Linked DNA regions of Arabidopsis thaliana. The protein of the gene in region 2 interacts with the protein of the main gene of each other region in a pairwise test. Each region holds a gene or a part of one and is shown on either strand. Other genes may lie near its edges.

Region 1 (6,988 bases), 7.1 Mb from region 2:
TTGTTTGAATATTGAGTACTGTTGTAAGCGTTTGTTTATGTTGACTGATATATATGTAGTGAATAATATACATAAAATATTACTTCTCCTATAATTAGTGCTTGAGAAATTAGGTGCCAATAAAAATGATGATCATACTAAAATGACTATAGAGAATTTTTCAATCAACAAAATGAATAAACGTTACGTTTTTATTTATGAAATTTATCTTTTGATCAAATATAAGAAGACTCTTTTTTTTCGTCATATAAGAAGACTCTTTTGATGCTATTCTTCTCATTAAAAGTTTGTACATTTCTGTGTCCTGAAATCAACGATTTTGGGCCTAGTAGCCCAAATTCTATTAACTCGATATTAACTCGAATCGTATACACTCGACCCATTAGTCTTTTTTGTTACTATATTGTCTCATGACCCATTAGTACTGGATTGTGACTATTTCATATGTTAAATCAAACCATGACAGAAAAAGCAGGAACATTTCTTGATCCTTGTGAAGCTACTTTGAACAACAATAAAGAGATAATCCCAAGATTTCTAAGTACTTTACAAATGTTTTTAAAACCTCATCTATGGTTTCTTTCTCTAACAAGAATCTCCTAGAAGATGAAGTTTCTTCTTTGTCTTAGGAGTTATTAATAGCCAGGGATTTCACCTGGAACTGGAGCCAACTCGTTCTTACTGAATTTCTCTTCATCATAGAACGTTGCACGTACGGTTCTTCCTCCAAAGTATCTCCCATCGAGGTCTACAAGGGCTTTAGTTGTTTCCTCGGGTCTTGAAAACTGAACAAAGATTCTTACTGCTTCGTGTACAGGGAAGTTCGGTTCAGTGATCTCGAATATCAGTACACGAGTGACTGTACCGTATTTGCCACACTCGCCTCCTACCTCATCTTCTAGCTCATCATCTACTTGTCCTGGCCCAACCTTCAGACACAGAGAAAACAGGTGATGGGTCAACCAGAATTGATACATGAGACAAGGAAGATACGATTTTTCCAACAAGTACTTGTTATGGTGAAAACAATCAGAATAACAAGAATGTGCCTACGTTTATGACAATCAATGTGAAGATGCATTCATTCACATACCAATAACTACATGGTTGGAATTTCCATCAAAAATTAGTCAAGAAATGAAAAAAAAAAACACAGAAAGAATAGATCTTGCGAGTTATTACAGTAATCCAAGAACCATAAAAATTACTTCATCAAATGCCAACCCCTACGGATTCATTTGTCAACTCTCTAGTATTTGGCAATCCAAGCTTAAAGCCTCAGGTTAGGCTATCCCCAAAAACCAAAGTACGGTTCCAAATGCTTATTTGACTATTTGAGGGAAAGATACTGTAACTTAAACTGTTGTTTCCAAAGAGTAGGCAATCTAAATTCTATAACAATCCAGCAGTGTACTAGGCTACCATAACATAAGTAACACTCTAAGCTACAAGCTTCACCAACAAAGAATTATCATCACAAAACTGCCAAAGCTTTTAACTTCACGATAGCTTGAAAAAATCAACATAGTCACAAAAGGTCCTACTTTCCAATGGCATCCCATTACTCAATTCCATTTCCACAGAGACATCTTTGTCAACCGTAATTCAATACTACGCCCTCACATGCTGCCAACAATTAGCAGTAACAATTTCTTAACTAAGACCACATCAAATGTTGGAATACATTAATATCATTCTAACAGACCGTTCTAAATCATTGTAGCAAAGTGTGTCCTAGTATAACAACACGTTTGATTTGAATAAGTTCTAAATTGACTTTGGCCTACTAATACTGATTCAACTAAGACTGTGGCATCCAAACTCAAGAACTGAAGAATCCATAAGCTGATAAGAGATGTTATTGAAACGCATACCATGTTTCTAAGAAGCAAAACCCTGGTTGGTTCACCATTGATATTAACACTCTTAACAACCTTCTTCTCCGCCGAAGAAGATTTATTCTCACTAGCATTGACAATGACACCAGCTCTACGATCAGTCTTCTTAGCCATCAATGGCGTAGTAATCCCTTGCTCTGATTTCCCAAGCCCTTGTCCTTGTTTCCATCCCATCTTCGCCATCATCCTCTGAGCAGCTGTCATCTGTCCACCTGCTCCTACTCCTAACCCACTCGTCTCCGATTTCCCAATACTAAACCCATCAACATTCCCCGGCGGAGACGAAGATCTTCCCTTCCCACCACTTCCACCACCACTCATAGCAGCGCGTCTCTTCCACGCTTCCTCACCGGAGATATTCAACCGAGACGGATCACTGTTATCTCTCTCTCTCTCCTTCTCCCTCTCTTCTCTTTCTCTCTTATCTCTTTCCTCATCCTCTTGCCTTCTCTTATCCATCTCTCGTTTCATCTCAGCTTCCGTAGCTTTCCTCTTCTTCTCCCTCTTATACTCCTCGTAATCGTTAGGTCTCGCTGGATCGTACTCTTCAATCACCGATGAAGTCACACCAACCAATGCAGGCTGATGCGAAGGTGCTGATTCGTTCGCCGGAATAAGCACCGATTGCGATGAATTCGAAGGAGGAGGAGGCTTGTACGGAGCCGAAACGATAGGTTTAGGTTTGTTGAGAGGTCTTAAGATTGTTTGCGGGGGAGCAAAAGCTGGTGGTTTGCGAAGTGTAGGTGGAGCCATTTTGGTACTGCTTGACCAGACGGAAGAGGAGTTTCCACTGGGTTTCTCATCATCGGTCGGTGGAGGAAGATCTCCGTATAATCCACCAAGCATTTTTTCGCCGCCGGTAAAGAGACTCAAAATTCACGGTTCGCTTTCAATTGGAAAGATCTGCTCAAATTAGGGTTTTTAATTTTTTCCGATCAGCCTTAGTAATAATAAATAAAACAAATATCATTTTGTTGGAAAATAAAAAACCGACAAACAAAGGAGAAATATTTTGTCCTTTTATTTTATTTTCTGGGCTATTTAGATTCTTGCAATAGAAGCCAACGCTTTAAAATTGATTTGTGCGAGAATTTTACATAAACCCTAAGAAAGATCTTTGTTTTTTCCGTCTTTTTGCGTTTTAGTCTTCAGGTGCGATTCACGTTCCTCATCTTTTTTGTTCTTCTTATAAACTATTTATTTGCGTTTCGTCCTCTATGATCGAGAAGCTTCGAGGAGCAACCAAAATCCCAAATTTTTCCTCGACAAAAAATCTACCTGCTTTGATCCAAATCTCTATGGGTTTTTATCATTAATCGAATTTCAAAATTGATGAATCCATAATTTTTTTCTCTATTCGATTTATGAGAAATTGATTTTTTTTTTTATTTTTCTCCCTTGTGAAATAGGTTAAAGATTATTGTTTTGTTGCTGTTTGTAGTTATGCCGGTAATGAATCCATCATTGTGTATTGGTACACAAACATCGGTGTACCTCGCTCCTCGTGAGAAATCTTTTACGAGTAATGGTATGTCTCTTCTAAATCTCAACACTTGTTGGCTCTTAAGTTTACAATTGCTTCTTTGGAAAATTCTTTGAAATTGAGTTTGGATTGCTCTTGACAAATTGAAGAAACTAGACTTGTTGTTGTTATTGATATCTCAGAGCTTTAGTGAGTGTTGTTGTAGCATTGATTCTTGCTTTAGTCCCATCGTTCGAGCTTGCTTTTATTGAATGAACAATGGAATTCTAAAGCTCTTCTTCTACTTGCTGTCTGTAATAGGAAACTCTCAAAGGCGTTATCCTACAAGCGTTTCTATGCAACGCCAGCCTTGGAGCCAAAGTAAATTCCCTTCTCTCCAGGATGCAGTGCAACCAGTTGTCGTCTCTAAGAATAAAAGACCAGTCTTTGCATGTAACTCTGCGCTGGTAGGTTCCATTCATGACTTTGCAGCCTTTAAGTTTAAGTGTTTTAAATCTTTAGCTGTTGGGATAACTTCATCACACACCATTTTGCTCACATAACTTAATTACACATCATAAGCCATTTTGCTTGTTTTATGAACAAGATCCTTTTGCTCTTATGGCCGATAATAGTTTATTTTCCGGTATTCTCTTCCTAAGTGTCTCTGAAACGCTAGCTGTTTACTTATTCTGATTTGTTTTCTGCAGAATTCAAAATGCAGTCAAGGACAAACACAGACCGTTACACGGCAATCACCAACAATCACACAAGCTCCTACTCATGGTAAATTGTTTCATCCCCTTCTCTATGTTGAACAACTATTTTGCGTTTCTAACAAACAAGAGGGGCTTAAAAAACCATACGATTCTAGCTAATATGAAACAGTTATTTTGAACTCAAATTGTGGCTTGCTATGGTTCTTATTCTTGAGAATGTGCTTTAACAGAAACGGACTGGTCTATTCTTGTTTGTATCTTCAGAATTTATTTTTTTAGCCTTAACTTAAATATCAGGAAAAGTTAAATCCCCAAAGCTTGATGACGGTGGAAACGGGTTCCCACCTCGGGATGATGGTGGTGGTGGTGGTGGCGGAGGCGGTGGAGGGAGCTCTTCAGGTGGATTCTTCCTTTTCGGGTTTCTTTTGTTCATGGGATACTTGAAAGATTTGGAGGGCGAACATGAAAACAACCATTAAATCGGAGGAAAACATGATGCACAAGCACAACAGACAAATCTCAAGACAAGTATTCTCCAAGAGAAATCTCTGTATCAAAAACAATAGATTCTAGTACTAGCAATAGGCACAGATTTGAGTTGTTATTTATGTTTTCTCTGTTGGGTTATGAATGAGATTCTTGTTCCGTGACACAAACAAAGCTCATCTTATCCAAATGTTTATGGAACCAGGTTTGGGAGATGCAGAGAATCACACATAAATGAATTCAAAATGTACCCTTGTTCTTTTGTTTTAAAAGTTTGCCAGACTTGAGAAATGTTCACTATCGGCAATTGGCAAAAGATACGAAACTTAAAAACAATTCTTTTGCTTAGTATATGTATCAGAGACATAATCAACAGAACAAGTAGCTTAGGTGACAACCTGTTTCTGCTCCCCGTAATGCAACTTAGGGTGCATCTTAAACGGTTGGGGTGCTGACTGGAACATGTTAACATTAGGTGGCATTGGAACTTGTGCTTGTTGCTGCATCATTAGTGGTCGTTGTTGCTGCATCATTGGTGGTTGCATCATTGGTGGATAGGGCATCATTGGATGCGGAGGCCGCAACTGCGACGATGTAGTAGAATTGAAGCCAAAGCCAGGAGGAACATTCTCAAACTTTGATGGGACATGCCAGTTTCGGTTTCGCATCGGTAAAGGCTGAACAACTTTTGATTTACTGCTGAAACACCATAAAAGAGAAAGCATTTTTAGTATCCCAGACTTCTTCTTCTTCTGCTGCATCATCTTCTCTTGGAATTGACGTTCCATGGGTTTAGGATCATAAGATGAATTAGTAGAGTCAGAAGAAGAGTAGTCTTCTGAATCACTGTTTAGATCATCATCATCAAGCTGGTACTTGACTGAGAAAAGCTCTGTTTTTCTGTCATGTTTATTAAGTTTACGAACCAGAGCCATGGGTTCTACGTCACCTCTGACTGTCATGAGCCCTTTTTCGATGTTATACTCCACTTCCTCTACACCTATTTCCATTGGAAACAAAGTATTTAAATCATCATGTTTAAAGACATATGAGCCACGCAATTAAAAGCTTTGAAGTATTTTTTACCAGAGATACTCTGCAATTTCATGCTTGCTTTTTTTTGGCAACCAATGCAACACTTTAGATCGACTTTTAGTATGCACGTCTGCAAAAATATACACAGAAAATCATTAGCAACTGAAAAACAGAGAGAGAGAGATAGATTGAAAGATTGAGAGACGGGAAGAAGTACCCGGACGGATTGGTTTGGGTTCGCCATTGAAGGAAGCTTGGTGAAAAGAAGAAGAAGCAAACCCTAAACTATGTAACTAGATGGAGAAAAAGAAATTGTACATAGGCATCGTTAAATCTTATATATGCAAGGGAGAGAATCAATAAACTTTCCATATTTAGCAGACTTTTCCATTAATAAGTTAAGGTAATGATACATTTATTGACGTAGATGATTAGTCATTACTGTTTGTTTTCATATCTTGATGTATATTTGAAGATTCTGGAGGATAATGAAAGCTTAGTATTTCAATTCTCCACAATGGAGATTTGCCAACGTTAATATCCAAACTCAAGCTCAGATATCTCATGTAAAGATTCTTTGAGTGTTTTTCATGATGCAAATTTTTGTGTCTGGTTTTCGTCTAGACCAAGCTCTCAATTCTTTTGAGTTTTGGTATGAAGATCTCCGAAATATACAATGTCTACTCGAAAGACTTTTGCTCTTGTTGCGATGACAGAATCGATTTCTCTGTTCACGACAGAAGCATCAAACAACAAGGAACAAGTGAAAAATTAATAGCAACAACTTTACAAGACACTTGATGAGTCTAGCTGAGGTAAAAGATTATACTAATAAAATATGAAAAGCTAGTAACAAATTTTGGTCGACAATAATGTTGAATAAAAAATACCGGATTTGGAGATGATACAATGAAGTAAACAAACAAGGAAAAGAAAAAAATAGAATAATAAATTGTACCCAAAACAGACAAAGCCCTTAATCAAACTAAACCAGAAGAAATTTTGTTTTATCAGTCAAAGAGACCCCCGGTTAAGTAAAAAGCTCACACTACCTTCTCTGGTTCCTTCACAGCCTCTTCGGTCTCTTTGGTATCTGCTTCTGCTGCAACCTCTGTTTCTTTTGTCCCATGAGGGCTTTCAGGTTCAGAGCTTTTAGCATCCGCATGAGATTCAGCAGGATCGGAATCTCTCAAGTTTCCAGTTACTTCAGCTCCACTCGCTTTTGGTGAGCTCTCTGTGGGTTCAATGCCACTAGCTTTTGGTGAGTTCTCAGTGGGTTCAACACCACTCTCATCTGGTAACTTCTCTGTGGTTTCATCGCCAGGTACACCTGGTGTTTTCACTGCACTTTTGTTATCAGTATCATCATCATCATCATTATCCTCTTT
Region 2 (6,856 bases):
AAAAATGGCATTGCATAACACGAAAACGAAACTCAATTTGTAATAAAAAAGAATTGGACAAGTAAACTCCAACCTGATATAACGGCAACCTTGTCATAATTTGCAGCTGAGACATCAGCTCTTAGTACAACTTTGATCTGTGAATTCATCATAAATAAGCTGAGATTTTGCACACATCCATGGAAGGAATCGAAAAAAGTGAATTTTTTTAACCTCGGGAAGACCATCCAAATACTGAAGTCCAGGATAAGTTTCGACGAGACCTTCGATGAACTCGGTTACAACATCTGCAATAAACAGCTTATGTTCATTCTCTCTATCAATTGATATTTCAAGAGCATGCAACTACCATATATGAGATAAACTATCTAGAACAGAGAGCTAGCGATTCGAAACACAAACGGAGACGAGGGATCACGAACCGTTGGGGTTGTTGATGAATTTTTTAGCCGGAGGAACCATGGTGCTAGCTAGCTTTCAAGGATATAAAAACCATAAAATCGGAGAAGTTCATACGGAGAAATAAAGAAGAGAAAAAATTGAGACTTCAAGAGTCAACAATGGCAGAGAAGAAGAAGAGAGTGACTAGTTTCTGTATTTGTTCTTGAAAGCTAACCGTTAAATCGAAATAAACCGATAATCAGCACAATAAAACCGGTATATGGAGATATTGGGCCGGAGGTGAGAGCCCATTAAGTAAGAAAATAACTTAATTAGTAAGATAAAGAAAAAATGGTTAAGCATAGGCACGTGTTCCACGCACACGGTTCGTCTATTATTATTCTTCGTCTACTTCACACGGAATAGAGATAGAGAGAGAGAGAGATCCAGAAAAAGACGAACAACAATGGCGTTGCAATGGCTGATTCTATCGTATGTGGTGGCCGTCGAAGTAGTAATCACCCTCGTGTTGACTCTCCCTTACCCTATGCTTCTTAAGAAACGTGTAGTTCAGCTTGTCTCATTGATTCTCCAACCTGCTGCTTCCATCGTCGCCTTCGCCGGATTTCAGCTCCTCGGTAACCTCCTCTCCTCTCTCTCGCTCTATCTATCTATTTCGTAGTCGGAATATGTATAGTTAGGGTTTTGAGCCGCGAGTGATTCTGTGGATTTGGTACCTTTGTGTGCTTTTGCTTATTTGGTTTTGATTTCATTCAGATATTTACTGGAAGGCTGAGCATAGACTATCTTGTTCATCTGAGGTTTGCACTGCTACAGAACGTGATCGCTACGAGAAATCTGTAAGTACCATTCCTTGATCACCTTTGTCTTTGATTCTTCTATAGCTGAATTCTATGTGTATGAATCTTTTTTTGAATAGTAAATTGTTAGATTTGTGAGTTTCATCCTTGTCATTTTCTCCCATCTTTAGTCTAAAGATCAATATTTGTTAGTAAAACTTCTGAGAATTGGCTTTCTTTGTCTGAGGAAGTTGCATAGATTAGAGCTACAAAACACTGTCTAACTTGTTAGTGTCAATGCATTTTTTTAGGTCTTACCCTTCATTGATGTACTCATATATCTTTTAATCGTAGTTCTAGCTACTGTCAAATAGCAACATGTGACTTTCTTTATACCATCGGCACGATTGTCATTCATAGTTCAGTTTATACTTTGCTCTTGTGAATTGTTGGCAATTGATTCTTGGTGAAGCTTCATCACCACTCTTGGATGTTTAGTTCATCCCTCAGTTTTCTGGTCATGCACTGTATTCAAACCTTTTTGGGTATGCAGTTGCGAGTCGCCAGGATCAATTATACATAGTGAAAAACTGAAAATCAAACACTTGGATATTTAATTCACCCCTTAGTTCCTTCTCTTTCCCTGAAATGTCTCAGCTTGCTTGCTAACGAGTTGTGCGTTTGCATTGTACCACAGATCTACAAGGCTCAGAGGAACGTGGTTCTATGCGCTGCAGGAATTCTACTCTACTGGTAAGTTGTAACATCATCAGCTATTATCAGTCACTCACAGACAGGGTCTCGCGTAGTTTTATTGATATCTCTTTTATTCATTGACAGGTGCATCTACCGCATCTGCAAATACAACAAAGACCTGGAGCGCTTGGAGGCAACGGAGAAGAGATTCAAGGAAGAGTAATAATCTTCACGAGTATAGGGAGTTGGTTCCTCAAAACCATTATATAAGTAAAGCTTTTTTTTATTGCATTTTTACGTTCTAATATTATTGGACCTGAATGAAACTAAGAGTATCGTGAACAGCCTTTGCACACTATATGTGTATATCATCAGTGTCCATTTCTTTGATCATATTTCAAGAACAACCTTAATTTTTCATGTCCAGAATTATCATTTACAGACACTAATTTTGTTAAACAACAACGATGCACTTCAAGATGTAAACGAGAAGAATAACACAAACTGATCGCGAATGTAGTATTACCATAAAATGGGTATTGATATTAGTTGGTCAGTTCACAGTCGCATATATTACAAACAACAAATCCCCAAACCCTCTCAAAGAATGTGGCACATCCTCATAAACCACAGAGGCCATTTCAGTTCAGTACGAAGTGATACCTTGAGTCTACATGGCTCTCCACGTCCCAGAGGAAAGAACCAAACGTCACAGCCTCCAACACAAGCCTCTTCAATCCCTTGAAGCTGATCTTGATATGCTCGTCCTTCGAGGAATCAATAGTGCCTTGTGGCGTTATCACAATCTCTGGCCTCCCAAACAATGCTTCTGTATGCTTCTCAATTATCCCAACCGATTCTCTAGATCTTATTGTAGCGTACCTTTGAAGGGTTTCTCCATCAAAGGACATAACGTATGTCTTTAACCGGGATTGCTTCATATCACTGCTAAAACCGCCACTGGCATTGATCCCTCCTACAAACGAACCAACGTCTTGGTTTGAGGAAACAGCCTGATAAGTCTCTTCTGCTTCTTCATAGAAGTTTCTCTCTACATCTCGGCCTGCTTGCTCAATGCTAGTCTCACCTTCATCTGACCCACCTGGGAGAATCCTCATCGTCTTCTCAAGCTGAAACCTTTGATCGATCCTCTTCAGGAAATACCCATACATCACCGAAGCAGCATATACCTGTCCAACTCCAAGTTTGCTTATCTGCGCAACTGCTGTCAGATCATCAGTGCGGTTTTTAAGAATGATGGAAAGATGATTCTGAATCATCTCATAAACTTCAGGCGAGTGAAGTCTCTCAAGTTCCCCATCTAGAGTTGGCCAAGTATCAACTCGACCAGATGGATCCGCAGATGAAGAGGTTATGGATGGTACAAGTGTAACATTAGCATCCATGAACTTCTGAACCACTAACGCATACAAAATCTCTTCCAAGGCCCTTCTTCTCTCTTTCTCCTTAACTTCAGCAATTCTCCTAAAGACCCAAGAAACAATCTAATTCAATATCCAAACCTATATAATAGCCGAGTGGTAATTAATATCAGCATATGACAAACCTGTAGAGAACAATGTCTGTTCCAAGGACAGAGGATGCATCTTTACTCTGTTCTTCAGCGTCTCGATCAATTTGGAGCTGTTCAAGCTGCTGTTCAACAGCTGCTGGAACAAGATGAGGATGGCTCACTAATATCTGTGACAGAAACTGTCCCACAGGAGACTTCAACTGAAGCGGCGCGATTGATTCTGTTGAAGCATCACCAGAAGCTGAAGCTTTAACCACAAAGCTTCTCCGAGATTTAACACAAGTTGTTCCGCTTTGAAATGGTCTCGAGAATTTAAGAGAAGAGTTTTGCTGCATACAGAGAGACAACAGATTCAAATTACAATATAGTCAAGCCAATTTTTTTACTTATGAGAAATTTACACGAAGAAACCTTAAAAGTTCCATTTTTTTACACAGAATCTGAATTCTCGAATTTCATTGGAAGATATACGATTATGGGGTAGATTAAGCACAAACAAAGATGATTCGGGAAAGCTATAAATGTCAATGTTGTCTAGGGTTTAGTAAATCAAACTCAGTAGAAATAAGACCTACTCTGAGACGAAATTGAGGTCCGGAGCTAATTCGCATGAAGCCAGGACAGTTGGGCGTCGAAAATATCAACCTTTCGGAAGTTTGACGCAGTAAGGAAGGAGATTGAAACAAATTCGCCGCCACAGCGTCCATGATTAGCCTCTGGGAGAAGCAAAAAGTCGGAACTTTGGCCAGAGAAAGGAGAAATGAAGAAGAAACCTAGAATGTAGGAGAAGATGATGTCGATAAATAGTGATTAAACCGGTTAGTGTGGATGGTTTATGACTCTTATCTCTTCCAATAATACCCACTCACGTTTTTTCTTTTGATAATTACGGGAAATTAATTTCGTAATTTTTCATGTTTGACACAATAGAAGTTGGGCTCATATTTATATTTCTCAAAGCCCATTAAGCGGGATTTTAGACCATTATGGGAAACATATATAGCCCAGAATACGACCCATCAAGACAATTAGGGTTTCTCTCGCCTTTCGCGTCTAAAAAGTTTTACCCCAATCGGTGTGTAAGAATGTCGTCGTCGTTTCTATCTGATTTTTCGTTTCTCAGTGATTTCGTTTAAAAAAAGTTATTTTGTCTTCTGTGAATCTACAATTTTTTTAAAAGGTTTTTCGTTTTTGCTAATAAAATAAGAAAAACGGTGGCGATGATGAAAAAAAGGCCGGACTTACGGCTACTACCACCGTGAAAGTGTGGTGGGTAGTAGAATGATGCTAAAGTATCCAAAGGTTACAGCTGAGCCTCCTCTTTCTACAACTTCACCCATTTTTATCCGATCTTCACTATTATTTTGCCTCAACTTCTTTCTCAATCAAAGTTCGGTTTAACGTTTCGGTTCGGTTCGGTTATATCGGTTTTCGTTTTTTTTGTTAAATTTTTTGGAAAAGTATGCTGAATTGATCCGATATTAGGTTCGGTTCGGGTAGGTTCGGTTTTCGGGTAATTCGGTTTTTAACTGGGTATGTGCAAAAAAAACCGAAATAACCGAACAGAAGGAAATACATAAAAAAAAATTGGGTTTGTGCAAAAAAAAAAATTCAACTGGGCCAAGCTAAAATACATAAAAGGCCCATTGTAAAACCATAGAAAATAAATGCAATCAGAAGGACAGTTTAATTTTTAACCCATTTCAAAGAAAACAATTCCAAAAAATAAAATGTCAGAAAAGAATTTTCTTTTAGAATAAAGACAGTGAAGAGATTTATTTCAAAGCCTGGGTTTAAGCTGCTGAGAGAACACAAAAAACCCTAACAAAAATGGAATCGAAAGCAATTTGCTTAGGGTTTCTTCCTCCAAGACTTCGATTTTCATCTCCACGTTTACTCTCTCTTCCTCCTTCTCCTCCTGTAAGTGAAATTTAACCATCAAAATTTCATTTTTTTCCATTTCGATTCTTCCAAAACCTTATCCTAAAATTTGTCAATATCTCCTGATTCTATAGGCTTCTTCCACATTTGCGACGCGTCACAAACTTGATTCCAGACGTAAGTATCTCTATCTTAAATCCTCCTACTTCACCCAGATTGTAGCATAAAGACTGATCCTTTTTCTCATTTTCATTCTTGTTTAAGAAACCCTCCTTTGGAACAAACCGCAATTGAGCCGAGTTCGTGTAGCGTGTTCTTCTTCTCAATCTGACTCAAGACCTGAGAAGAAGCAATCGGATAAGAGTAACTATGCTCGAGCTGAGCTGTTCCGTGGGAAATCAGGTTCTGTTTCTTTCAATGGTCTGACTCATCAGCTGGTTGAAGAAAGTAAACTGGTTTCAGCTCCGTTTCAAGAAGAGAAAGGTTCTTTCTTGTGGGTTTTGGCTCCTGTTGTTTTGATTTCTTCGTTGATTCTTCCTCAGTTCTTTCTAAGTGGTATCATTGAAGCTACCTTCAAAAACGACACTGTTGCTGGTAGGTCAGGTTTTACTACTGCTTTAATGTTTAACATCGGATTATGACTTATATGAATCCTAGGAAGGAACAAATGGAGTAGAAGCTATCTATCTTAGTGGTGTTACATCTGCTAACTCATTATGTTTTAGTGTAGTAGGCTTTGGCTTTGAGGTTTTGATAGGCTTAGTACATGTTTTCTGATGTGCAATATTAGAATCCTTTTTTTCACTATTATCAAGAACACATGACCTGAGCCTTAGAAAGTACCTAAACGAGATCTCATAACTCTCCTAAAGCTAAGAGACTTAGCAAATGATCTATCTCTTGTTGTATGATACTCATTTTGATGCTCTCTCTTATTATAATTTCTTGATGCAGAAATTGTTACTTCTTTTTGCTTTGAGACGGTGTTTTATGCTGGTCTTGCGATATTCCTGTCTGTGACTGACCGAGTGCAGAGGCCGTACTTAGACTTCAGCTCCAAGAGATGGGGTCTGATCACTGGACTGAGGGGATACCTTACGTCTGCATTCCTCACGATGGGTTTAAAAGTTGTAGTTCCCGTATTTGCTGTTTACATGACTTGGCCAGCTCTTGGAATAGATGCTTTGATTGCAGTGCTTCCTTTCTTGGTTGGCTGTGCAGTTCAAAGAGTTTTCGAGGCTCGGCTTGAAAGACGTGGCTCATCCTGTTGGCCCATTGTTCCAATAGTCTTTGAGGTAAACTTATATTCTGATTTTGACCATTTTGGTCTTAAGTTTGTCTGCCCATCTTCTTGTGGTCCATGATGTTGTAGTCTTGTTTTGAGTAACTATGGTTGTGTATGTCATGGCAGGTGTATAGGCTGTATCAGGTGACAAGAGCAGCGACTTTTGTTCAGAGGCTGATGTTTATGATGAAAGATGCGGCAACGACTGCTGAAATAACAGAGCGAGGAGTTGCACTAGTTGGTTTGGTTGTGACTTTGCAGTTTCTAGCTGTTATGTGT

What was found.
Region 1: the proteins of AT1G48450 (region 2) and AT1G30475 interact in a two-hybrid assay, tested with the Arabidopsis thaliana proteins (one large-scale study listed by BioGRID).

What each region holds. Positions count from the first base shown.
Region 1 is NC_003070.9:10,786,071-10,793,058, reverse strand, and holds AT1G30475 (uncharacterized protein), read left to right. Parts: upstream 1-3,115; coding exon 3,116-3,200; exon of another isoform or gene 3,201-3,339; coding exon 3,340-3,426; intron 3,427-3,681; coding exon 3,682-3,827; intron 3,828-4,070; coding exon 4,071-4,146; coding exon of another isoform or gene 4,147-4,238; exon of another isoform or gene 4,239-4,376; coding exon 4,377-4,558; 3' UTR 4,559-4,833; downstream 4,834-6,988. Other genes in the region: DRT111 (D111/G-patch domain-containing protein), read right to left, coding at 636-929, 1,875-2,744; AT1G30473 (Heavy metal transport/detoxification superfamily protein), read right to left, coding at 4,952-5,565, 5,652-5,730, 5,818-5,844; AT1G30470 (SIT4 phosphatase-associated family protein), read right to left, coding at 6,644-6,988.
Region 2 is NC_003070.9:17,906,228-17,913,083, forward strand, and holds AT1G48450 (alanine-tRNA ligase, putative (DUF760)), read right to left. Parts: upstream 4,247-6,856; 5' UTR 4,119-4,246; coding exon 3,987-4,118; intron 3,741-3,986; coding exon 3,445-3,740; intron 3,363-3,444; coding exon 2,519-3,362; 3' UTR 2,475-2,518; coding exon of another isoform or gene 2,431-2,474; 3' UTR 2,276-2,430; downstream 1-2,275. Other genes in the region: AT1G48430 (Dihydroxyacetone kinase), read right to left, coding at 74-137, 214-287, 423-462; AT1G48440 (B-cell receptor-associated 31-like protein), read left to right, coding at 848-1,019, 1,159-1,241, 1,879-1,934, 2,022-2,100; AT1G48460 (tRNA-processing ribonuclease BN), read left to right, coding at 5,242-5,331, 5,427-5,469, 5,557-5,886, 6,247-6,587, 6,704-6,856.